2 linked regions of the Rattus norvegicus genome follow. Each later gene encodes a partner of the first gene's protein in a complex. Links are inferred from orthologs where the notes say so. Each region holds a gene or a part of one and is shown in the gene's direction. Other genes may lie near its edges.

What was found. Proteins that work in one complex are often made in the same cells at the same time.
Region 2: the proteins of Wdpcp (region 1) and Intu are in contact, whole or in part, in a cryo-EM structure (PDB 7Q3E), measured with the Mus musculus proteins. The link is inferred for Rattus norvegicus from reciprocal best matches to the Homo sapiens genes WDPCP and INTU. Residues at the interface, in NP_663400.2 of Mus musculus: Phe3, Cys4, Leu5, Ile24, Leu51, Ser54, Arg55, Asp56, Lys93, Leu385, Ala386, Glu387, Asp388, Tyr389, Ile427, Lys446, Leu447, Gly448, Ile449, Leu450, Thr451, Arg452, Gly453, Leu455, Leu462, Gln463, Ile465, His466, Tyr467, Gln487; in NP_780724.3 of Mus musculus: Val481, Gln484, Val488, Asp491, Ser495, Asp496, Glu498, Ala499, Ala500, Asp501, Ser506, Glu507, Asp508, Arg513, Arg514, Thr517, Ser532, His533, Leu534, Pro535, His574, Tyr593, Glu610, Gly613, Cys614, Ala615, Ser616, Lys617, Ser653, Pro654.

Annotation. Positions count from the first base shown.
Region 1 is NC_086032.1:100,001,035-100,004,555, forward strand, and holds part of Wdpcp (WD repeat-containing and planar cell polarity effector protein fritz homolog), read left to right. Parts: intron 1-1,220; coding exon 1,221-1,354; intron 1,355-3,521. UniProt on the Homo sapiens protein: Probable effector of the planar cell polarity signaling pathway which regulates the septin cytoskeleton in both ciliogenesis and collective cell movements.
Region 2 is NC_086020.1:125,596,761-125,600,281, forward strand, and holds part of Intu (protein inturned), read left to right. Parts: coding exon 1-30; intron 31-974; coding exon 975-1,196; intron 1,197-1,860; coding exon 1,861-2,331; intron 2,332-3,400; coding exon 3,401-3,498; intron 3,499-3,521. UniProt on the Homo sapiens protein: Plays a key role in ciliogenesis and embryonic development.

The DNA of each region.
Region 1 (3,521 bases):
AATCACGGAGCTCTAAGAAAGAAGTCACAGGACAGTCATCACTAGCAACAGCACTAAGAGGAACAGGCGGGGGATGGCTGTGGGCGCGGTATTTCCTCCAGCGTGTAGTGTGGTGCCAAGGGAAGGCCGTGAGAGTTCTGGTCTCAGCTCATCACGAGCCCTTCGTTGGCTTTGCACATAGCAGTGTCTATGAGGTCTCATGTTTACGTTGTTCTGTAGACTGAACAGGGAGCATCAACAGCCTTCTGTCTGAGTTGTCTCTCTTCATGTGTTTCTTTCACATGTGCCCAAACAATGCACTCTCATGAGACACGGTAGTGATGCAGTTCTTTTTTTTTTTTTTTTTTTGGTTCTTTTTTTTCGGAGCTGGGGACCGAACGATGCAGTTCTTGGCAGCTCGCCAGCTCCTCCACTGTGGGGCACTGCGTGTGCATCCAGAGGTGGAGTGGAAAAAGTGTACAAGATGTTAAGTAGTTTCTTTTTCTTTTTCCTTTTTTCCCTAGGAACAATTCACATAACAGTGGCTCTTATATGACCCGTGATATTATCTACCCACTTAAATTCTTTAGTAATAAAACTGCAGAAATATTTTGTTGATATTCATTATTAGATAGTAATTTATATAATATACACATTTAGGTATAGTATATTTTGTTTCATTTAGTTTGTAAGTCTTCAAAAGAGGGATTACAGATGAAAAATTTTAAATAAAAAATTTAATTTGGTAGAGAACACTGATTAGTATCAATCCAGTTTATTCTCAGATGGCTTTTTAAATGTTGAAGCAGTACATAAACAAAAAGAAAAGTATCTTTTTATGCTCTTTTTTATTGAGACAGGCTCATATTATATATCCCTAGCTAGTCTCAGACTTTGCCTGCCTTTGCCTTCCACTTGGTGGGACTAAATATCAGCCACAGCACCAGCCTCTCTTATGTGTGTTGGCTCTGGTTCCCAAATGTTTCCTTTGGTGATATCCTCCAGTGTTAGTTTATGTGGAAATAGTCACTGAAAAAAGGGGGGGATACCAAATGTACATGGTCGTGTTGATGGTTATGTTATTTCTGATATTTTTAATATCATTCAAATATACTTGGGAGATGTTAGTAACTTTAATTAATATTTATTTTCTGACAGCATCTTTTAATAATAATTTAACATAAGTGTGTTAACTTGTTATAACTTTGTTCTAACTTGGAATCATTAAATCATTGTTTTAGCTCTCCTTACAGACAGTTTCATCATCTTATCATTTCTGGCACAAAACAAATTATGTTTTATTCAATTTGCAAAGAAGATGGATTCTCTTGATGTAAACAAGAGGTTGGAAAAGCTCTCAGCCTTGGATTATAAGGTAGATTTTCAATGTCTATAGCCATATTACTACCTATTATAGATAGCGACTCCAGAGGACGGCACAGGTCGTGGCACTGTTTTTATTCTTGAGCATTTGTGGGTTTGAGGAAGCCTGAGTGTGCCTTTGTACCTCACCTGTGGTGAAGGCCTAACGATGGCCTATTTAATATTTAAGCTCATGGAGTCAAGTCGGCTTGTTTCCTAATGCTCCTATAGACTGCACTTCTCAGTCCCTGAATATCCATGTAGCTGCTGTGGATTCCACAGTGAGAAATGAAGGAAGGTCTTTCAAAGACTAATAGAAGATATGTTAAGTACTGGTAAGAGCCTTGCATCCCACCCCAACTGTGACTGGAGGACACATCTCTGTGAGGTGTGTCAGTCTTTCTCCTCTGCTAACGCCAGGTAATTTGTTCTCTGTATCACGGACTTTACATCTGCTAAGACAGGATTTTTATTTTAAATGATGTGCTTAAATTTTTCATATAACATTCTGACTGTAAGGCCCCCTCTCTGCAAGGGTGAGCATCTAATGCATTTTCCAGGCTGTTTCAGTTCAAGGCGTCTTTTCAGCCCTGACCTGTGTTTGCAAGATTGATCCAGCCTCTGTGACGTGGATTTGAGACAGTTCACTGTTCAGTGGGAATAGAGCTGATATATACAGGAGCCATGCACGTGGATGCTGTCCTCAGGCGGGCGTCAGCAGCAAAGGCAAAGCCAGCCCTGTGCCTTGTAATTGGTGTGTGCGCTTGGATGCTGACTTTTGTACCTGACTTTCCAAATTTTAGATTTTCTATTTATTATGATTGGGCTGATGGTGGCATAGGATAGATTTAATTTGCTTAATAGAAATATCTGTTCTTATAAGAAAGAGTTTTAACATGGAAAGTCACCTGAAATAAGTTTTTCACTGTGCTAATAAAATATAATCTGGTTTATATGCCCAATTTGTGGAGCTTCTATAAAATTTGCATGATGATAATTTTCTCTACCTGCTAAATTATGATATTCATTTGCATATTTAGTAAAAAATTAAAGATTCCCTTTAACATTCTTATAGCACTGTTTTTTCTTAAATAGTTAACTTAGGTTGATTTTTTTTTTCTTTTCTTTTTTTTTTTCGGAGCTGGGGACCAAACCCAGTGCCTTGCGCTTGCTAGGCAAGCGCTCTACCACTGAGCCAAATCCCCAACCCCTAGGTTGATTTTTAAATGATGTTTTTTCCCTAATGTTGATCTTTAAAATGTATCAGTATTCATTAGCCGAAGCACTTTAAAGTGTTCTTTACCTTTTTATTTAAGATCTCATAGGACAGTTCCTTTGTTAGAGGTGTGATGACTAGTGGGCAGTGTCTTCTTGATTGAAGAGTGTGGTAATGTGAGCCCAGGAACCGACAGGGTGTCAGCCTGTCTTAAAGAGTGTAAAGCACAGGCCTCGTCTTTGGCCTATGCTGCTTAGATGGGGAATTAATACGTTATTTCTACCTTTGGACTTGGCAAATGACTGGCACTGCGTGTCACTGCTGCACAGTACACTGTGCCCGTGTTTCCTTGAAGAGACACATGAATTTCATGTCTCGCTTCAGTGTTTGAATCATGTGATAACTAGTGATCACCAAATAACAACTGATCTGCATTCTACAAAACTAAATATGCCAATCTCTCATTTTTAATTTGACTTTTTCATCTAGGAATTTGCAACATTCCCTCATAGCAATGTCATGGCAACGTCATGGCGAGTCCACCTAATGTAATGTGCACTTCTCTTTATGTATTTAACAATTATGGTTTTTCTCTCAAAAACGAAGAAATTACAATGATCACATCGAAGACCTGACTATAAGTATTTAAACTTCAAAGCATACAGTGCATCGGTGTTTTATCAGTGCCCATTTGGACTTTACAGCAAGGACATGTATTGAGTATTAATAATTCTGACTTTTCTTTCCAGCTATACCATAATTTAATTATTTCACATTGAAATAATTTTGACAAGAAGAATTTCAGGGTAAATATCCTGAAAGTGTTGACCTTTAACAAGCTTTTCTGCCCACATTTAAAAAATCTAATTCAGTTTAACAGTTGAGGGACAGCACAAGGAGTTAAATGTTTACCATGAGAGAACAACACTGGTAATTACTTTGATTTTAGTTCTTTTTGATGTGT
Region 2 (3,521 bases), on another chromosome or scaffold:
ACAATTTTGGGGTCTTCTCTGTTTTACAAGGTAAGTTGAAACCTAAAATATTTTCAATATCCAACTGCTATATACATAGACCTAAAGTAGATTCCAACTTTTACACGCATGGAAGACATGTTACCACCTTGCAGACAATACTGTGATCTGGAAATAAGACCTTAGAGATTTATAAATACAGTAAATATTCCTGTTTTACTGTGTGCTAAGGCATTTCCGAGTGTGCAAACATGAAAAGGTACTAAAAGAAGAAGATATATAAGACAGAACAACAGTATGTTCCTTTCTTCAGAATTTTAAAAATTACATTTATTTAGTGTGTGTTTACATGGGAGCCACAGAGCATACGTAAGGCCAACAACAACATGACAAGTTGTTCTCTCCTTCTACTGTGTGGGGCTCCTGGGATCAAACTCGTGTCATTGGGTTTGGTGGCGAGTGCTTACACTAAGCTGTCTCCAGCAATATCTTGTTAACTTCCTTTTGCAATAGTGTTCCTGCTCTTTTTATTGTCTTCTTCAGAAGTGAAATACATTGCATCTTGTGTATGTAGCATTGAGTTACTACTTCCATTAAAGGAATCAAGACAGTTAAGTATTTCACTTTAAAATATCTTTAAGAACAATATGTAACATGTTTAACAGAGTCAGATGATTCAGGAGGCACACAGAAAAGAATGTCTGTGCTGACCTTGACCCTGCTTCTCTTTCTAGCCCTAGTTTAACCAAACATTCAAGATAATCAGTGCTACTTGAGGTGATCTTGTTTTGGGCAGTAATGTGTCTTCTAAGTCCCTTCAGTTGTCAAGTTTGATCGGCAGCTTGGCTCAGATCAATAGCATGGACTTCTGACAAATCTTGCTTAGTTCCTTTAAAACTGCACTGGTTTAAGCATTAGTTTATGCATGTCTTCGAGATATGGGATCGTTGCTGCACGCTGCTAGCTGACTTTGGCTCTTCGTGACTGAATCCCAGGGTTATATGGTGTGCAGCCATCTGCCTAAGGACGATGTTGTTGAGATCGCTGCGTACTGTCGCCAGTACTGCCTGCTGCCTTTAGCAGCACAGCAAAGGATTGGCCAGCTGATAATATGGAGAGAAGTGTTCCCACAACACCACCTCCAGCCCGCTACAGACTCAGACCCTGAGGCCTTCCAGGAACCAGAAGGGAGATATTTCTTACTAATCGTCGGGTTGGTGAGTTACGTATTCTTTCTTGAATTCATTTTATGTTTTCTAAACCTACTTGCTTAAAGAGCACAAACAGGCTTGCTTACAGTATGAATATGTTACTTGCTTACATTCAAGACAATGTTAAATGCTTCTCTATTCTCTTCCTTCTGTATCTGTTTAATAGTCATGAAGAATTATTAGTGAACTCCAGTGTAGGATTTTAGCAGAGTTTGACGATGTTTCATTCCCTTCCTAAAACAGTGGTTTTATCCTTTCATAAAATGATACAGAGCCAAGTCTGGCATGTTAGTGATCCCTGTGATGCCAGCACTTGGAAGGCTGAGGCAAGAGGATTGTGAGTGTGAGTTTGAGGCAGCCTGGGCTGTACGTAAACCCTGTCTGAATGAGGGTGGTGAGAATGGAGGCTATTTGAAAGTAGTATTAGGGATGTCTCTGGACTAAGAGAAATGATTGATGGTGCACTGTTGCTTGACCAAAACAAGCTAAGCAGGATTGTTTCCATTGTGGCTCAGGGAGCTTTGAATGATGGTGAAAAGAGAAAGAAGAGATTTTTCAGAATTCACTGAGTACTTGCAAATGCCTATATATGTCTTTAGTATTTACAAGCATATACATACAGACTATATTAAATATCTCCAATTGAACATGTACCAATCTTCCTCTACAGCGACATTACATGTTGTGTGTGCTGTTAGAAGCTGGAGGCTGTGCATCTAAAGCTACTGGGAACCCTGGTCCAGATTGCATCTATGTCGATCAGGCCAGAGCAACCCTTCACCAGCTGGAAGGAGTGGAGTCCCGCATAGAGGAACAGCTAGCTGCAACCCCGGGGCCCTGCTTGTCCTGTGCTGACTGGTTCCTTGCTGCACCACGCGAAAAGGCAGATAGTTTGACCACTTCGCCTATCCTCGGTAGGCTGCAGGGGCCTTCCAAAACAGCAGCCTCTCCAACATGCAGAAGAACCTTTTTCAGTGACTATTCATTCAAGGCACGGAAGCCCAGCCCCTCACGGATTGGTGGAGGACGTGAACCTGGTGAAGGGGAAGAAAATGTTGGTCTGAGCCCACACACTACCCCAGACACTGTACGGAAGCAAAGAGAATCTGAAGGTTCAGACGACAATGTGGCCTTGCTTAAGGTGTGTGTCCATTCGAATGTTTGCATTGTGAGCAATAACTAATTGTTAGAGAATTGTTTTTAATTGGGAGAGTGTTCCTTATTTGAAGTGGTGTGTTTTAGTGATTAATGAAAAAATAAAAAAACAGAATTGAAAAGAGAAAGAAATATCCAGGGCCAAGACATAAGCCTGCGGCACTAGAACATTTTTTCCCCAGTGCTTCCCCACATACATTGACATACATTGACCTTTCTTCTGCGTTGATAAGGGTGACAGCGTCCTGGCTTGGGGCAGTCTCAGTGTCAGTCTTAATAGCCAGTAAAACATTTAACAGAAACAGATGATCAGAATGGGGAAGAGGAGGTGCCTATTTGTAATAAGCTAAGGTTCTTGATCTGCATTTATGAATGTCACAAACATTAAAGCAGAGAATGCTCATCCTTGAGGTTGACATCCCATGACTTTCCCTACACACACTAGAGATATGTCCACAGTTGACAAAGTCCACCCCACCCTTGGGAGCTTCGCACTTACTCTGGGAAATTGATGTCTCTCCACAGTTTTGAAACTTGCCATCAGGAGGAGGGAGGTGATGCCAGGCCGATTCTGACTGGGCTACAGTGCTTCTGAGTGCTGTGACATTTGCAAGCATAGTTTCCCCTGCTCCCATACAGTGATGCTGTTGAAGCCAGAACACAATATGTTTGTTCCATGCATGTTTTGCATCCTAGCTATAGACTGTTACCTCATTTGATAAACTTTGTAGGAAAGAGAGATCAAGACAATTTGGATAATTTATGTATAGCCAAGCTCTACTCAGCTGCCATGAATAAGACCTCAGACCTGTGTGACCTTGAGGAGTTCAGACAGCAGCGAGAGAGACAAGCACACATGTATACATTCAGTGATGGACCTGGTGGGGAGTTTTCTGTGACTTCACCTTGGAAACCTTCTTAACAAAGAGTAAGAGATGTAGATTAGTATGGAAAATATTTAAAGGGAGCGGCACAAAAATAGTGCTCTTAGGTTTTGAATCATTACTACTGTGTGATCCTGTTCTTAGATAAAAACTAACATACTTATCTTCCAGCTTGCTAGAAAGAAGTCAACACTTCCAAATCCGTTTCATTTGGGAACTTCGAAAAAAGAACTTTCAGAAAAAGAATTGGAAGTCTATAACATGATGAAGTAAGAAACTTCTAGCATGCCTT